Sus scrofa: one gene and its partners. The protein of the gene in region 1 binds, or shares a complex with, the protein of each later gene. Links are inferred from orthologs where the notes say so. Each region holds a gene or a part of one and is shown on either strand. Other genes may lie near its edges.

Region 1 (4,604 bases):
TTAACCCACTGAGTGAGGCCTGAGATCAAACCAGCATCCTCATGGATGCTAGTCAGGTTCGTTAACCGCTGAGGCACGACGGGAACTCCTTGACCGCTTTTTTGAATGTGTGGGACGGTAATAAGCATTCAATACTCATAATCCTACCACAGCTTGACCACAATGCCCCCAGGTGGGTGCTTTCAATAAGCCCATTTTTCAGATGAGAAAGCAAAGGCTCAAAGAGGTTATGACCCTGGCCCCCAAGTAGGAGCCACAGAGTCTGGTCTCAGAACCCACCTCCCTGTCCAGGGCTCTGGTCTGCTCTTGCAGCTCCTTGACCTCAGCCTGCACTTGGACCCGGCACTTGAGCAGGTGACCCATGTTCTCCAGCCTCTCGCTGTCCCGCAGCCGCTTGACCTGGCTCTGGGCAATGCTGATCTGCACCTGCAACTTGTCCCGCACCCCCTCCAGGCGCTGGATTTCCCCGCTGCCCAGACAGGGAAGTGGAGGGAAGGCAGGAAAGGGGCAGAGCTCAGCATCACTAACGTCCTGACATTCTGGGCCTGCCCTTTGGCCACAGCCCCGGGAACCCAGCCCCCAGCCTCATTAACAGCCCATCCCCAGCTCTAGGGACCCAGGCGCCTGGCTCACAGTTGCTTGTTGATGCGCTGGTGGACTTCCTTGCTGTAGGCTCGCCTTTCACCCTCCATCACTTTGCATTGCCGCTGCAGTCTGCTCAGCTCCCAATCCACTGAGGCAGGACGAAGCCAGGGACTCAGGAGGAACCCAGCTCCCAGGCCCTTCCTCCCCAGGACCTAGGAATTTTGGCTCTGCAACGAAACTGCAGGCTCAGTTGCCAGCACCATTCTAGGGCTGCATCTCAGTTTCTGTATCCCCAGGCTTCCTCACCCCTTCATACTCCCTGCACTGCAAGCTGACTTCCCCATTTTTTCCCTAAAACCACTCCTGCCGCAGATGGTTGCATACAACTGTCTCCCCACTAGAGGGCACTCCTGGAGGCCTCACAGTCCTCAGGGACCAAAGCACCAACCTGGCACTTGGGAAAGCTGAGGACAGGAGCCTAGGCCCCCAGAGGCACCACTCTCCTTCCCTCCCTTCCTTTCTGCCCCAACACCCACCCAGCAGTGCTAATTCCCACCCTCCTGCCTCCTCATCCTCAGCCCATCCCCTAGGTTCAGGCCTCATTCTCTCTCCCTGAACCATCATTACCCCCTCCTCCTCTTCAACCTGCCGGCCTTTCCTCACAGCCACAGAAGCCCTAGACCCAGGACTCACCCTGGACAAAGTCCCAGCTCCCCAGCCTGGTGTTCGAGGCCCCACAAACCCAATCCTACCCACCGCTCCAGGCTCTCCACCATTTCCCCATCTCCCAGCCGTTCTCAACCAGGAGCAATTCTACCCCCTAAGGACATTTGGCCATGTCTGGAGACATTTTTGACTGTGCAGGCATGGATTGCGGGTGCTTCTGGTGTGCAGCAGGGGGGGGGGCGGGGGCGCAGGGATGCACCTAGTACCCTCCAATGCCCAGGACGCCCCCACCCATAGCAAAGAACGTTCTGACCCCAGGTGTCAACGGTGTGGAGGCGGAAGAACCTTGCTTTGGTCACATGCTGTTCTTTCTGCTCACTCTTCCCTTCCTTCTCCTGGTGGAAATTCCTGGGAGCAGTTCTGGGCCCCACTCAAACGTCTCCTCCTACAGGAAGTCTTCCTGGCCATCCCACTCCCCAGGCTTGGGCTACTATCTGCTCCCCGCCTCCACAGGGCTGTCCTGAAAAGCCTCCCCATCCACGGGGCCCCAGCTGCACAGGACCTGAAACAGGACAAACTGAGGGAAAGAATGAATCAAGAATGTACGAATTACCCATTCCCTCCAAGAAGGCCTCGCTTCCATCTTCGGAGCGGGTGCTCCCAGCAGAGAGTCCCAAAGGCATCTTGGCCAAAGAGGACCCCTTCAGGAGGCGAGCAGGAGAGGGCTAGGAGGGTGGGTGATGAAAGGCAAAAGGCTAGGAACTGATCCCAGAACCAGCTCTGGCCTCTCTTTGGGTCGCAATCCCTCCAGCGGGTTGGAGGGGGCATCTCTCAGGCCTCTTGCCATGCCCCTCCCGACCTCCCACCTCTCACACTCTCTGTCTTGCGTCGCGGCTCTGATTCTGGCGCGGGGGACAGGTCCTCTAGGCTCTCGGTATCTCTGATGGGGGCGGTTTGGGGAGGCGGCTCACAGAGGAAGGAGAACCACCCCACCCCCGTCGGCTGAGGGGAGCGAGGCCGGTCCCTACCTGCCGGAGTGCTGGACCTGTCCTGGGTACTCCAAGCTCAGTGTTGTGGTCTGGTTACTGGGGAGATAAGAGACCAATGAGGCCTGGGGACAGCAGCCGGGGAGGGACCAAGGCCACAGAAGAAAGCCGTGGGAGGGGCGGCTGGGGAGGAGGGGCTAGGAGGCCGCGAGGAGACCTGCGGGGAGCTCGGGTGCTGTGAACAGATGTGCTAGGGGAGCCCAGCAAGCGGCGGGACTGGAGGGCTGAGGGGGCGGGGCTCTAGGCCTTACGAGGGGCGGGGCTGGAGGCCTTGCGAGGGGCGGAGCCGTAGAGGCCTACGATGGGCGGGGCTGGAAGGGCCTCTGAGGCGAGGCCGGCCTGAGGGTGTGGGCTTCAGGGCTTGCGAAGGAAGGGCAGGGCTGGAGGGGCCCAAGAGGGTTGTGGCTGGGGGACCTTGTGAAGGCAGGGACGCAGATACCGGTGCAGGGCGGAGCTTCGGGGCCCTGAGGGAGGGGTGCAAGGATACCTGTAAAGGGCGTGGCTGCGGGCCTTGTGAAGGGTGGGGCTTCGGGGGCTGGTGAGGGGCGTGGTTGGAAGAACACGTGAGGGGCCTGGTGGGAGGGCGCAGGAAGTACGCGGATTCCAGAGCTTGTGGTAGACAGGGCTAACTAGGAGGCACTCAGGCTTGGAAAGCTTGGGGGAGGTCCTGATGGTCTGTTGGGGTCGTCAGGGGCGCGATGTGTGTTTCCGGGAGGGGATATCTGAGCCAAAGGAGTCTGTGGAGGCGGGGCTGGGAGGGAAACGTCTGGAAGGTTTTGGAGCTGGGCCAAGGTGTTTCGGGATGGGGCGCGAGAGATGCGCGTCTTCAGATGATTAAGATCACGTTATTTTGAGGATTCATTAGCAAGGTGGCGGTGCCGATGCTGGGAGTTGCTAGGGGAAGGAGCGCTCACCACTGCCTCAGGTCCTCGAAGCGGCGCACTACGCATGCGCGGCCAACGGCCTCGGGAAAGGCAGCCAAAACCCCTCAACCACTTAAGAGGTCCGCGCACTGAGAGGCGGAAGTGGGCGGGGTCTAGGGCGCTCTGTGTTGTCCCGCTTTCCGGCCCCGCCCTGTGGTCACGCCCCCTCGCGCCACAGGGCACGCCCCCTTGACGGCAGGCTGCTGCCCACGTGGGCCTCCTCCAAGCGGGAGGGCAGTGGGCGCAGCTCCCTGCAGGCTGGGTGTGTCTGACGCCTGCGGTTTCCTGTGGGAGGAAGCGACCCGCTGGCGCTCAGCTCGTGGCCTTGGAGGCCCAGATAGGGGAGATCCCACCACGAGTCCCTTGAGTTTCCCCCCTTCTACAGGATCCTAGCATGGGGGACCCCCGCCTGGAACATCCCCAGGGTACCCAACTCCGGCGCTGATTCCACTCAGGGAACTTGATTCAGAGGTCTAGCCTCCTGTTCTCCACTTCCTCCCGCTCAGATTTTCATTTCCCTAGCCCCTGGTTCCCAGACTCCTCCCAGGACCCAGGTCCAATCCAATTTACCTCCACTCCAGGAAGAGCATGGGATCTCAGGTCTCATGTTTCCTCCAGTGACCCAGACTTTCTAACTTATTCAGGGCCTGAGTTCAGACCCCCAGTCTCTGTTCTTCTCCAAGATGTAAGATGGAACTACTTATCCCCCCCCCATTTTATTTAGTATTTTCATTTTGTACTCCCAACTTTTTAGCCTTGGGCCCAATGGACCCAAGAATTTGCCACTTCCCCAAATCCTAGAGACCTTGATCTCAGGTCTCCCAGTACTGAATCCACTCAGAGCCCCAATGACTAGCATCACAAGCACTTACCACAGTGCTTACTATGTGCCAGTCACTCCTCTAAGAACTGCTCTGTGATGTATTTACTATTATTATACCTATTTTACAGACAGAAACTGAGGCATAGCAAAATTAGTAACTTGCCCCCAAATCACAGTTAATGAGTCAAGCAGCTTTTATTTGAATCTAGCCAGTGTGTCTCTATAGAGTCTGTGCTACAGTGGTACCCAGCTTCCAGGTCTCCCGGGTTACTGGACCGCCCCTCCCTCACACCTTCAAGGAGCCCAGATGACCAGCTGCTTTCGGTCTTCTAGTTGTGGCCCCATCATATACCCAGACATCCCCTCATCCAGTTCCCTTCCCTTGGAGGGACCCAGGATTTTCAGTTCTCCAGCTTTCACTCCACATCAGAACCCCAGGCACCTAGTTCCCTTGTCCTTGCCAACACCCAGGTACACCCAACAGCACCCAAGCCTGCCAAGAGACCCAGGTACATAGTGGTCATCACCTCCCATCCCAGCACAGTAACCCAAGAATAAATA
Region 2 (4,920 bases), on another chromosome or scaffold:
CATTCTTGAGGTGGGGGTGGAGGCTGTCAGTGGAGTCTGGAGAAAACCCCTGGCGATTTTTAAGCTGGTTAAAGAGGCACCCTCCCAAACGAAGGCAAGCTGATAACTGACACTAGCTTTGGGATACAGCCTGACCTTGCTTTCCTGGAAAATATCCCGGTAAAACGGATCCTTTAGTTATTTGAAAGACAGTTTCTGTGACTGCAAACAAAGGGTAGTCTTCACATCTTTAAGAGGACCTTCTGTTCTGAACACAGATGAGACACCCACCCTCTTTGAATTAGAACCGCAAAAACATGGGTTAGCTTCGTCTTGAGCACAAAACCTAGAATATTCTGCAACGTGTCACTTGTTGAGCCTCGGAAATGAGATACAAATTGTTATTTGTCTTTTATAAAATAATGCAAGTTATTTTATAGTACATGTACTGTCATTGTTAAACTGAAAGTAGAAAAATTCTGCCAACCGTTAACACCCAACTGAGGTTTTTGACTTTCTTTCCATGTTCCATTTGTTTGTTGAATGGAGGGTTGGGATGCTGTTTGAAATCAAGGTGAGGATGCTTGGTGAAGGCAGGACCTGTATGATCCTAAAGCAAATTCCCTGAGAACAGTTAACTGATATGAAATGATAGTGATGGGATTGTAGGGAACAAATGGGGGAGGGATCAACCTCATACACTCACCCCAAAACCTGGGTGACTCCTGTCAGATGACAGAGCCGAGGCAAACCTTTAGTGAACCGCTGTAGGGCTCCTTCTAAACACAAGCAACTTGAAGATTAGTGGTCACTGGTCAATAAGAGAAGCTGTGAGCCCCTCCTCTCCTACCAGGTGCGCCAAAGGGACACCACAGGTGGGAGTCCCTCATGGGCAGGTGCCTCGGCAGACAAACACTGCGAGGTCCTTGTGCACCAGGGCCAGCAGCTCTGGCTCTGTTCTTCCTTCACAAGCTTCAGGCCTACCCCCCCTCCCCCAGCCCCATTCCCTTAAAGTGGAAAAGCCGAGGAAGGGCTGGTAGAAGTCAAATCTACCAGCAAAAGTCCCGAGCCTACTGAGAAGCCTTGGTGGGCTCCCCCACCAACCATGTCTTTCCTCCATATTGTCCTTTTAGCCAAATCTTCACAAAGGTGTGGTGGCATCTGTCACTTCTCTGAGCATGGGCTGAGCTCTGGCCTCACTGCAGGTCTGGCAAACCTTTCTCAGGGAGGCAGGTATTTATTAGGGGTGGGTTTTGTCAACATACCGGCAAACTTCAGAGCGTTCACTGCATTCTTGGGACGTTTTCAGGTTTGTATATTCAGACTTTAGAATGAGCCGTGGGCCTGCAGGAGTGTGCTGAGCGTACCTCAAGGCCTGTTGTAATTTCTGTTTGTAGGTTTTGTGGCCTGTGCAGAGTAGACGCAGGTTTTTGTCCCAAGGGCTTTTCTGAGTGAGGCAACTAAGCCTGAACAGTTAGCTCAGATCAAATCAGTCAGCAATTGAATAATCAAAAACTGCTTAATCTGGGCCCTGCTGGAAACACAGAACTTCTCAAAGTTCACGCAGCCCCGAGGGGGTTACTTTTGTGAGTACAAAGTGCATGAAAGTGACTGTGAGAGCTGTCAATGCTAAATTCTGTGTGCAGAGCAGTTTTCTCTTGGGCTCCCAATTCACTGGACTTTCACCATGATAAACAGCTGGGATTCTCAAGGTGAAGAAACTGTTTCACTTAGTGTGGACATTTTATGAGGGAGGCCCTTGGAAGCTGTGTAGGAAATGACATCATAGAGTTGGTTTCCAAGTAACTTACAGATCTATTATGAAAGGACTTTAATAAGAGGAAAAGATAAAGCTTAGTTATCTGCATAAATTACTTTGAGTTGGACCAGTGCTATCCTGTAGGGATAGTGGTGAGCATTCTGGGGTGACTTTAGCCAGCCTGGTCTCTCACCACTTTCTCTCCCCTGATGCTCCTCAGCCCCTCCAGCAGCACTGGGCTGCCCCCCTGCCTGCCCCCCAGGGCCTCTGTCTGCCCTTCACCCCATCCCCACAGGCAGGTCTGTGGAGAGTTTCTAGCTCCATTAGTCAGTCCCTCCTTTTCTCACTCTCACCTGGGGACCAGCTGACCCTCCTGGCTTCACAGAGCTGACCACTGTAGCCAAAGGACACTGCCAGGATCTTCCCACTGCCTGTTCGGTCATGGCCCCGAGCCTGGCTCTGGCTGCTGTGCTGTCCATAGAACTGCCCAAGGGACAAGGCACCCACCCCTTTCTGAGGGGGCCAGAGGGAGAGACAACCGCCTGGCAGTGATCCTGATCCTCTGTGTGGTCACAGGTTTATCCTCAGGCCAGCCTGGTTCTTCCTGGACATCAAAGGCTGCCTGGACCAGGCCCTTCCACCCACACTCCCCATTCCATCGTCTTGGAGTTGCCTCCTCCCTCCACACATTCCTGCTTCCCCACCCCCCCTCCTTTCCTGAGCCCCAGTCTCTCCAACCCCATCAGCTGTGCAACAGCCCCTTTTACCTGTGAACATTTGCTGAACTTGCCTTCTGTGTACAGAGCTTCTCTCCATCTTTCTTCTTGGAAGCCTGCATCCTCCTGAAGATGCTCTCCAGAGGAGGCTGCCCATCTCCTCATTCCTGCTCAGGCACAGCCAGAAGGAAGTCACTGTCATCATGACCCCATGTCTCCTTTTCAGGACCCCATCGGCTCTGCCCTTTCCTCTCACCCACCTTCTCAGGGTGTAGGTAATGCACACGCTCACTGCCACACAGTCCATGCTCTGCTCCTGCATCCGCCGGGAAGCTGCTCATGGGATTTCAGTGTGATGTAGCTAAAACACTGGTCAGTCATGTCGTCCTTCTGCTTAATGTTGAAATGCCTTCTCAGTGCCTGCGAGAAAAACTCCAAGCCAGGAAGCGTGGTTTCCATGGTTCTCAAAGATTTGCCCCTGCCTGGCTTGCATTTCATTTCATATGAGTTTTAGAATAAGCTTGTCAGTTTGTCCTCAAAAAAGGTCGTGCTGAGGTGTTGATTGGGGTTGCATCATATCTATGTAGCAATTTGGGGAGAACCGATGTCTTCATGGTATTGATTTTTTCTGATCCATGAACATGGTATATCTCTCCATTTCTTTAGGTCTTTGTTAGTTTTTCTCAGCATTGCTTTGAGGTTTTAAGTGTACATAGCTGAGCATCAATTTTTACATAAGTTTTTTTTTTTTTTTTTTTTTTTTTTTTTTTTTTTTTTTTTTTTTTTTTGCCATACTCTCAGTGTGTGTAAGTTCCTGGGCCAGGGATAGGACCAGAGCCACAGGAGTTACAACACTGGATCCTTAATCTGCTGATCCATGAGGGAACTTACTTATAAGTTTGGGTTTTTTTTGTTTTGTTTTGTTTTGTTTTTTAGGGCTGCGAGTGTGGCTTATGGAAGGCCCTAGGCTAGGGGTTGAATCAGAGCTATACCTGTGCCACAGTCACAGCAGTGTGGGACCCAAGCCATGTCTGCAACCTGTACCACAGCTCACGGCAACGCCAGATCCCCGACCCACTGAGCGAGGTCAGGGATTGAACCTTCATCTTCATGGATACTAGTTGGATTTGTTTCTGATGCGCCACAACGGGAACTCCCACTTATAAGTATTTTTGATGCTAATATAAAAGCAATATTTAATATGTGATAGTACATAAAATGTAATTGATATTTGCATGTTGCTTTTGTATGCTGGGACCATACTAAACTCATATACTACTTCTATTAGATTTTTTTATAATTATTTAAGATTTTCTATAGCAATGATAATGTTCTTTACAAATAAAGACATTTTTACTTATTTTCCAATCTTCCTTTAATGGTGAAATATTGGGCACTTTCTCTCCAACACGGGGAATGAAGAAAGGGTTCCCGCTTTTGCATTACATGTTCAGCATGATGTTGAAGAGAAGTGTAAGAGCGGAAACCCTTGCTTTGTTTCCTGCACTGGAGGGAATGCACCCAGTAGTTCACCATCATGTGTGGTGTCAGCTGTGCATTTCTCACAGATGCCCTGTGTCAGCTGAGGGAGTTGTGTCTGTCCCACATTTCCTGTTGTGTTTGTCACGCGTGGTTGTTGCGTTTTTACTATTCACCCAGCCCTCCCCCTACTGGTCGTGGCACAGGCATCTCTCTGGTAGATGAGGGCTGCACGTCACAGAAAACACCAGCAAACCTGGATGCCTGTCTTCAAGGAGAGTCAGCAACTCAGAGCTCACCCTGGCCCTTAGTGTTTGTAGTCCCCACAGTGCTCTGAGCAGCGAGCATCAGTGCAGGGGACCCAACATCACATCCTCCTCATTGTGAATCATTGGCTAAGTTTCTTAACATTTCAAGGCTCTATTTTTATAAAATTGACTACATTACTGATGTCCACCTTGAATTAAATTCCTCACTCAAGTATTCTGCCTGTAAATGACTCACTCACTTCATTTCATATCTGGTTTTCTACCTATAGTCTTACACAGTGGTTTTTATTTTGTTTTTTCATTTTGGTCAAAGCTTCACAGTTATTCAACAAAATGGTCTTCTTATTGACTACCACCTGCCGTTTGAGAATGTACTTTCTTTGGCATCTCTGTTATTTGGAGACTCACAGCCTTTTGTTCTTGACATAGAGTTGATCAAACAGCATAAGTGGAGACATGTTAGGGCTGCTCCGAGATCGTTATAGTCACATCTTTAATGTCCCTTCTGGTCGTGGGAGACCACCCTTCTCAGCCCTTTGCATCACTTGTTTCCATAGCCCTGGGTCCTGGTCAGTGGGATGGGGCGGAGGAGAGAGGGGCTGCCCTCAGCCGGCCACACCTGCTCTGTGTGTGGTTCCCTGTGTGGGGCAGCTGGAGACAGAGCACAGGTGCAGAGTGTGGGCCACCCCAGTGACAATTCATGGTTAATCCTTGGAGG
Region 3 (3,826 bases), on another chromosome or scaffold:
CATAGCAACACAGGATCTGAGACATGTCTACACCACAGCTCACAGCTACACTGGATCCTTAACCCACTGAGAAAGGCCATGGATTCCTTGAAATTTTCTAAGACCATAGGTCCCTGGCTGGAAAACACTGTGATTCCCCTGGACCTCTGTTGGGTTTCTCCACTTTGGGCACCCTCGAATCTATTACTCCTCCCATGGGCTGACTCACAAGGGGTTCCAGAACTTGGACCTATGGGGTCATCTGGAGCACTGTAGTTGAGCACCTTTCCAGAAGTTGGCCTAATGGGCAGATCTCTCTCACAACCCCTTCCTGGAGGGGGCAAGAGTTACTGCCAGAATGTTGCTGGCACTATAGACTTTGGAAAGTAGCTGTGCTTCACTGCTGTCGCTGCCCCACAATGTGATTTTGGCTGATTCAATTTCCTTATCTAGACAAGGAAGGGGCCGTAAAAAATCATTCGTCCGGGGTCGCACACCCTGGACGACTCATACCAGTCCGACTCACAGACTGGCCACCAGTCCGACTCACAGAGCGCCTGAACACCAGTGGGCAGAAGCCACCAGCTCAGGCCACCTGTCCTGTGTGTCCGGGGGAAAGGAAGAGGGGTACACCCATGCCTGCATAGGCCCTGGCTCTGATTTGGGCTGGGCGGCCCGCAGGCGGTGGTGCGGCGGTTCCTGGCACAGGGAGAAACCTTCACACAGTTGGAGACACTCAAGATCGAGAACGAGCAGATGCTGCTGAGGCTGAAGCAAGAGAAGCAGAGGCTGCAGAAGGAGCTGGAAGACCTCAAGTACTCAGGAGAGGCCATGCTGATGAGGTGAGGCCCGGGTGCCTCAGGGAGAGAGTGGTGCCTTGTTGGGGAAGTTCAGTACTGCTCCCATCTCAGACTGCCTTCTTCCTGCAGCGAACAGAAGCTGCAAGTCGAGTTGCAGGAGCGCATCAAGGCGGAGGAGCAGCGGCGTGCTGATGTGCAGGATAGGCTGGAGCGTACCATGCGGGCAATGCATATGACCAAGGAGGCCCTGGAACACCTGGCAAGCAAGCTAGACCACATCACAGTAGCAGACTCCGCCCCTGAGGAAGCTCCGCCCAGAGCCCCGCAGGACGTGAGAGGCAGCTCCACCATCACGCAGGTGGATTCCCGCCCCAAAGTCCACTCAAGAGAACCCACCCCATGCCCTGTCCAGTACATGAGAGGCCCGAACACAGGGGAAACTCCAACCTGCTCCTCAGAGTCCTCAGCCAGCGTCCAAGAGGAGACCCCCTTACTCCTCAAGAGGCCCAGGACTTCAGAGACCTTATCCCATTTCAAGTCCCGCCTCCACAGGAAAGTCCTACCTTGCCCCCCACACCCACCGAAGACTTAAGAGAACCCCCCCTCCAATCCTGGAGCAGCCACAGACAAGAGAAGTCCCACCCTGCCCACTGCAGAGTCCCATTTCTTCAGAAGGTCAGCCTGACAATGGCCTTCCTCCCACTAAAAGACTCATCCCCCTCCCATTACCCCCTGGCTTGGGTCTCTGGAGTTCAGAGGCCTTGCCTCACAAGCGTAGCCTTTGTTCATAAAGGGTAGCACCGCTCTTGTTAGTCACCCCTCACTTCAAAGGCCTTATCCCTAAGAGGAAAAGCCCCCTGCCTGGGTGAGACCTTTCCTGGAGGCCCCGTCCCTCCTGGCTGACAGAGCTCCGCCCCTGCCACAGGAGGCCAGCGGCTTCGCGGGAAAGGAGCTGGATCCCAAGGCAAGTGACTATTTGCCCAACCTACTGGGCCTCGTGGAGGAAAAATTGTTGAAGCTGCAGGCGAAACTCCAGAACCACAATGTGCCAGAGATGCTGCGCCACATTGCCGACCGAGAGGTGCTCATTCAGCCAGAGGGTGGGGCTGAGGATGCAGGGGCTGGGGCGGAAAACCAGGGAGTCAGGACCACACTTTGGAGACCAGGGAGGGGGCCAGTGGGCTGGGAATGGGCTTCAGGGACAACGGGTGAGGTTTAAGGAGCCCAGATTGAGCCAGGAGAGTTTCCTGAGGGCCCTGGCAGCCCAGAAGTCTGGGCTTGTGGGGTACAGGGGTCAGGCCAAGGGGTAGGACCTAGAGACTAGGGGCGGGCCTGAAGGTGGGGTGTTGCTGGGCATCAGAGTGAGCACTGGGAACAAATGATACGGCTGTGCCCAAGGAAAACTTTACAGGAGTGGGCAGAGGTGCTGAATGGGATTGGGGTGTATCTTGGGGGGTGGGGGAGATGCACTTCCCTGCAGCCCTGTGCATTCACACTCTTCTCTCCCGCTCCCACCTCCCCCAGTTCTTCTCCACCCTAGAGGGAAAGCTGCCTTCCTACAACACCCGCATCGCCCTGCCTCTTGCTGGTCACAAGGACAAGTTCTTCGGTCTGTCTGGGCAGGAAAAGGGGGTGGGACTGGGGGCCCTAGCAGAGCTTTGGGAGGTAGTCAGGGACCGGACCTAGGGCCAAGGTGGGGGTGGGAAGGGAAAGCTGAGTCACGAAGGGGAACCTTGATCCCCTCATCGCCCTTCGCAGACGAAGAGGAGAGTGAGGAGGAAGACAACGAGGTGGTGACCCGTGCAGCGCTCAAGATGCGTTCCCAGAAATTAATCGAATCCCGCAGCAAGAGGCGCGGTCGCTCTCGGAAGTCCTAGACGCGCCCTCGCGCCCACCTGGCGCTTCCGGGCCCCTGCGGAGCACCCCCACCCCAATCCCTCTGGGCCCAGCTGCGGGCCCAAAGGGGGGCCCCTTCAAGGGCTGATCGCAGCCCGCACAAGGGAGCCGACTGGGCGGGTGACGCGAGGAGTGGAGAAGGGGGCTGGGCCGCCGGATGTTCCCACAGTAAATCTCAGGCTGGTCCGCACCAGCCTCAGAATCGCGCAATAAAGGTCACCAACAAGCCCCCTGTGTATTCCCCTCTCCTTGATCCTGCACTGCCCCAAAGACAGCTACCCCTCAAACCCAGGACCACAGATTCAGCTCTCTCTGACCTGGGGAGTGATGACTTCCATCAGCTAGGGACACCACTGAGCTCACCCTGTCCCTCCAGAAAAATGGGAGATGCCTCCATACCTGGAGCAGACCAGCCCTCCCCATCTAAGGTCTCAAGTCTGTCCCCCACTTAGCTATACACACTCCCCCACACACCTAAGGACACAAAAAAAGAGCCTGCCCCTAGGAGAGAGAGAGGGGCCTTTCTCCCGGTGCAGAATACACACCTATCCGGAGAGCCCAGGCTTCTCCAGGGGCCTGGGCTGGGAGCTGGGGTCCCACAGGGATATCCGAGAGCCCTGGGTCCACCCCGCTCCGCCCCCGCGCGGCCCGGCCGCCCCGCCCAGCCGGCCCAACGCCCAGCCACTGCCCGCGACCCGCAGGCCCTTCCGCCTCACTCAGCCGCGTCGGCGGAGCGGGACGGTTGCGGATCATGGAGCGGACAGCGGGCAAGGAGCTCGCCCTGGTAAGGGGAGCTGGGGCTCCGGGGTCTCACATCCCTGGCGGCTACCAGGTCCAGAAACTCCAGGTTCCTGCCCCCCTGGACCCCTTCTCCCCTCAAATCAGACCCTTCGGATCCTCTCTGGACTCCATACCTCGGTCCTCTGGGCCCCTGACCCAGTGAAGTGGCTGGTTCCTCCTAGGGATGGTGGGGGAAGAGGAGTTAGTTCTCTGAGCACAGGAGGGACCAGAGACAGACTCTGTAAGACTGGACCCTGGGACATTCCCAAAAGCCACCCTTTCCAAGGACCAGGGAGGAGGGTACCCATGGCACCCAGGGGACTTCCCTAGCCTGGACCCCTGCCTGGACTCTCACCGACTCTGGCCTGGAA
Region 4 (4,121 bases), on another chromosome or scaffold:
TAATAATGACATGTACTAAGACACAATTACGGGACTGAGAAAGCGTCCAATCAACTCACCTATGGAGAATTCAGAGAAAGAAATGAGGGCTGGGGGCCCTCAAGAAGCTACTCAGACACGTCAGGCGTTGAGCTGCCCCTTGAAGGATGGTAGGCTTTGGGGGGGTGGGTGGCAGGCAGAGGTGGGGGAGGGGTGCTGATTCGACTGAGGGAGCAGGTGGGCCCACAGGTAAGACTCACAGGTATGACCGGGGGCCTGTGTGTCAACGTGGAAAAGGAACTAACATTGTTTCAGGAACACCTGGTTACCTAAATCAGTCACTGAGTGCACATTCATTTTAAGCCCAGCACGTGGCAGGTGTTGGGAAGAGAAAGGGAATTTACACGTCCACGGTCTAACAGGGCAGACAGGAAGCGGGTGGAGGGTGGAGAGGGAGCACAGCGGAGGGGCTGCTAAATCACTCTGGGGCGTATGGAAGGCTTTTCCCCAAGGCAAACACTTATTTACAATTGAAGAATGGGAGCTCCCTTTGTGGCTCAGTGGTTAGCGATCCTGACTAGGCTCCATGAGGTTGTGGGTTCGATCCCTGGCCTCCCTCAGGGGGTTAAGGATCCAGCAATGCCATGAGCTGTGGTGTAGGTCGCAGACGCGGCTTGGATCCGGAGTTACTGTGGCTGTGGTGTACGCCAGCGGCTACAGCTCTGATTGGACTCCTAGTCTGGGAACCTTCATAAGCTCTGAGTATGGCCCTAAAAAGCAAAAAAAAAAAAAAACCCAAAAAAACAAACAAAAAAAAAACAATTGAAGAATGGGCTGGGAAGGGATGGATGAAGAAAGGGCTGGAAAAAGAAGGCTGAGCAGAAGCAGAGCTGTGAGGTGCTGCTCAGGGGCCCAGAGAGGGCCATGTCAGCGGAGGTCAGGATTAGTTGGGTCAGGAAGTGTGGTCTGAGCTGAGCAGAACCGGTTGCTGGATGTCACCCACTGGGTTTGTTTTGCTTGCACAAAAGGGCCAGGTAGGTGGCCAGAAACCCAGGCCAGAAGAAAGACGCAAGCAGGGAGGAAGTCTGGGCTGAGCTGTGGGAGGGAAAGCAAAGGGAAGTGCTGCAGAGCAAGGGGACAGGCGGTGGCGGGCCAGACTTGGGGGACGGGTGTGCTGGCGGGGGCAGGGAGGGGAGGGGGTGTCCGGAAGCCATGTGGGCTCCTTCCTGGGCACTGAGCAGCCAACAGTGCCACCCTCATGGATAGGGAATGCCAGAGCAGGAGGTTGGGAAGAAAGGTGAGGGATTCCGCCTTGGACATGCTGAATTTGGGGTTCCTGTGGAATATCCAAGAGAAAGGCCTTGGAATCCACTGCACATGCGAGGGTGAAGCCTGGGAGGAATGGCAAGAAGATTTATACGTCTTTTAGGGCATGGGAGATAGTTAGATCCAAAGTACTGTATATACTTAGTTTATTTCACCCACAGAATTCTGTCAGCCAATACTATTATTGTTATTATTTTCTCTTTTGGTCGCCCCTCAACATATGGAATCCCCGGGTCAGGGATCAGAACCGAGCCCCAGGTGCAACCTATGCCACATCTGGAGCAATGTGGGATCCTTTAACCTGCTGTTCCAAGCCAGGGATCAAACCTGCGCCCTGGCACTGCAGAGATGCCACTGATCCCATTGCACTGCAATGGGAACTGAGGTTTTTTTGTGGGTTTTTTTTTTTTTTTTTTTTTTTTGCTTTTAAGGGCCGCACCTAGCCTATAGAAGTTCCTCAGGCTAGGTGTCGAATTGGAGCTGCAGCTGCTGGCCTATGCCAAAGCCACAGCAACCTGGGATCCTAGCCGTGTCTGCCACCTACACCACAGCTCAACGCCAGATCCTTAACCCACTGAGCAAGGCCAGGAATCAATCCTGCCACCTCATGCTTCTTAGATTCGTTTCCGCTGCTCCACAACAGGAACTCCCTAGGTTGGTATTATGAAGCCTTCATTAGAGATGAGGAAACGAGAAAGCAAGCAACTTAATCAAATCCACACAGCTTCTAAGTGCCAAAGGCAGGAATCAAAGTCAAGTCTGTCTCCAAAGCTGCTTGTCTGCTTGTTTTCTACTTCTGGAATGGCCAATACGTAAGACTCCTGCCCAGCACGGTGGAGGCAGGCGAGAAATGAAGTGGGAATGGACCAACAGCTTATAGGGCTCCTTGGAGCAAGGAAGAGAGGGCAGGAGGCAGGAATGTTCCGGACTTGACCTCAGAGGGCTGTAGGTCCAAGAGCACCCTTAGGCCAGGAAAACGCATTCGGTTTTAATCTGCAGGCAGTGAGGGACCAAGGCCTATTGTCAGCAAGGAAAAGAGAGCTGATGCGTGAAAAGCAGCGTGTCATGTGGGAGCAGCTGAGGCAGGGAGAGGAACGCGGGCGGACCTGAGTGGAAGCGGGGTGCTGGGAGACTGAGAGGGGCTCAGAACTGGGACCTGGGTAGAATTGAGCAGGAGCCAGTCACAGCCCCAGTCACCCACACCCCGTCAGGCCCTCCTGGAGGGCGCTTCTCCGCACTGTGTCCTGGACTTTTTCCCCATGACACTGAACGCAACTGTGACCTTGCTTTGTTTTACATCTGCAAGGAAATGAAGTTTGTATCTGGTCACCACTGTGTTCCCAATGCCAGCAGCACCTGGCATGTCTGGACTTGATAAATACTTGTTGAGGTGATAAAAAAAAAAATATTCCTAAGAGCCAAACCACTGGGAGCTTTTTGGAGTTTGGGGCCACTACCTTCCTCTTTGTGGCAAAAAAGCTGACCGCCCAGGTGTCCCTTTGTCCTAGGGGGGTGGCTACTCCCTCCAGGGGAATCCACCTCAGGCATGCAGGGCAGAAAGCAGGCGCTCAGACACTAGCAGCCCCAGCCCGGGCCTCAGTGACGCCCACAGGCCTTGCGCTTGGCCTTCAAGCAGTCGCGGGACTCACTATTCCTTGGCGATCTCCAGGTCCTTCCTGTGGCTCTGCAGGGCTGCCACCATCTGCCCCAGCTCCATTTGGGCGTTCCCTATGCAGCTGTACAAGTTTCCCAACAGTTCATCCTTGTTGGGCACCTCCTCTTTGCTCCATTCCAGAACCTTCTTCAGCACTTTCTCAGCTTTCTGAAGGCTGCCTTCAGCACTGCCACTGGTTAGCACTGGGAAGGGAAAGAGGTGATGTGGCGCAGGGAGCAGCCACCCCACCGGCTGACGGGAGAGCCCACCTCCCCGCCAGAGACCACCCACAGGCCAGCGAAGCCAGGGGCTCAGGCTGCTCCGTGGCTCCGACCCCACCTGGCCCAGGACCCACTCTTCTGAGGCCACCACCCACACATGTCAATGTCCTCCAGGCTCTTGAGGATGTAGTGGGCTGTCTGCGAGGGGCGGCGTTTGCGGTCCCGCAGCCACTTCTCTTGCATCAGCTTCCGGTCCCGCTCCCGGGCGTAGATGGGCTTCTGCTGCCTCCAGAAGTTACTGCGAGTGTCCAGGTAGTTGATGCCTGTCATGATGAGGTCCTCCACAGTCAGGCCGTGCTTGATGGTGCCTCTTATCAAGTCTGTGGGGAAGGGTGTGGGAGGAACCAACTAGAACAGGCATCAATGGGAGTCGCGGCCCCTCGGCTAAGGGTCTCCTGGTGGGGACCTCTATCCGGGGACTGAGGAACAGCAATGAAAGCAAGAGCACAGGGGTGGAAAAGTGGGTCTGTCTGGGTCCAGATGAGGCCAGAGCCCCCCTTTCAGCCCCCACGGTACAGGCCCCTTATGGCAAGACTAACAAAAGGGGCAACTGGGAGGTCTGTGGTGGCGCAGCGGGTTAAGGATCTGGCATTGTCACTGCTGTGGCACAGGTTCAATCCCTGGTCCAGGAACTTGTGCATGCCACAAGTGCAGCCAAAAAAAGTGGGGGGGCAGGTGGTAGATAGTTTTCTGAAAAGGCCCCGTCCTTGGGACCCCCTTATTTCAAGCGGTGTGCTCAGAGAAGACGGAGTATAAATGTACAACCTGGCCCAGGTTGCCAGAGCCAAGAGAGTCCACACATGCCAAGTGGGCCAGTGTCAGCTGGTAGCTGACGGCCCATGAGGCATGCCCCGAGCTCTGCCCATCTGCCTGACCAGGGA

What was found.
Region 2: CCDC114 (region 1) and EFCAB1 share a complex: the UniProt entries of both Homo sapiens proteins name them as parts of the outer dynein arm-docking complex. The link is inferred for Sus scrofa from reciprocal best matches to the Homo sapiens genes ODAD1 and CLXN.
Region 3: the proteins of CCDC114 (region 1) and CCDC151 are in contact, whole or in part, in a cryo-EM structure (PDB 9CPB), measured with the Bos taurus proteins. The link is inferred for Sus scrofa from reciprocal best matches to the Homo sapiens genes ODAD1 and ODAD3. Residues at the interface, in XP_024834988.1 of Bos taurus: Leu31, Gln32, Gln34, Cys35, Met38, Glu41, Arg42, Tyr45, Val49, Arg52, Ile53, Gln56, Leu57, Glu59, Ile60, Leu63, Glu64, Val66, Arg67, Leu70, Arg71, Gln73, Ile74, Ala77, Gln78, Asp86, Arg89, Leu90, Ser92, Met93; in NP_001095517.1 of Bos taurus: Gln69, Leu73, Lys76, Ile77, Leu79, Leu80, Asp83, Arg84, Phe87, Tyr88, Thr91, Asn94, Ile95, Asn98, Gln99, Thr101, Ile102, Leu105, Arg106, Glu108, Thr109, Leu112, Gln113, Gln115, Leu116, Leu119, Gly122, Asp123, Val126, Ala129.
Region 4: CCDC114 (region 1) and TTC25 share a complex: the UniProt entries of both Homo sapiens proteins name them as parts of the outer dynein arm-docking complex. The link is inferred for Sus scrofa from reciprocal best matches to the Homo sapiens genes ODAD1 and ODAD4.

Annotation. Positions count from the first base shown.
Region 1 is NC_010448.4:53,751,180-53,755,783, forward strand, and holds the start of CCDC114 (coiled-coil domain-containing protein 114), read right to left. Parts: upstream 3,330-4,604; 5' UTR 3,212-3,329; intron 2,804-3,211; exon of another isoform or gene 2,785-2,803; intron 2,535-2,784; exon of another isoform or gene 2,337-2,534; 5' UTR 1,935-2,336; coding exon 1,865-1,934; intron 1,829-1,864; exon of another isoform or gene 734-1,828; coding exon 634-733; intron 470-633; coding exon 280-469; intron 1-279. UniProt on the Homo sapiens protein: Component of the outer dynein arm-docking complex (ODA-DC) that mediates outer dynein arms (ODA) binding onto the doublet microtubule. Involved in mediating assembly of both ODAs and their axonemal docking complex onto ciliary microtubules.
Region 2 is NC_010446.5:79,373,525-79,378,444, reverse strand, and holds the start of EFCAB1 (EF-hand calcium-binding domain-containing protein 1), read right to left. Parts: upstream 2,952-4,920; 5' UTR 2,777-2,951; coding exon 2,506-2,776; intron 1,746-2,505; exon of another isoform or gene 1-1,745. UniProt on the Homo sapiens protein: Component of the outer dynein arm-docking complex (ODA-DC) that mediates outer dynein arms (ODA) binding onto the doublet microtubule. Seems to regulate the assembly of both ODAs and their axonemal docking complex onto ciliary microtubules.
Region 3 is NC_010444.4:70,087,198-70,091,023, reverse strand, and holds the end of CCDC151 (coiled-coil domain-containing protein 151), read left to right. Parts: intron 1-660; coding exon 661-821; intron 822-908; coding exon 909-1,137; intron 1,138-1,704; coding exon 1,705-1,860; intron 1,861-2,303; coding exon 2,304-2,388; intron 2,389-2,537; coding exon 2,538-2,656; 3' UTR 2,657-2,905; downstream 2,906-3,826. Other genes in the region: RGL3 (ral guanine nucleotide dissociation stimulator-like 3), read left to right, coding at 3,427-3,459. UniProt on the Homo sapiens protein: Component of the outer dynein arm-docking complex (ODA-DC) that mediates outer dynein arms (ODA) binding onto the doublet microtubule. Involved in mediating assembly of both ODAs and their axonemal docking complex onto ciliary microtubules.
Region 4 is NC_010454.4:20,781,283-20,785,403, forward strand, and holds part of TTC25 (tetratricopeptide repeat protein 25), read right to left. Parts: intron 3,561-4,121; coding exon 3,336-3,560; intron 3,163-3,335; coding exon 2,955-3,162; intron 1-2,954. UniProt on the Homo sapiens protein: Component of the outer dynein arm-docking complex (ODA-DC) that mediates outer dynein arms (ODA) binding onto the doublet microtubule. Plays an essential role for the assembly of ODA-DC and for the docking of ODA in ciliary axoneme.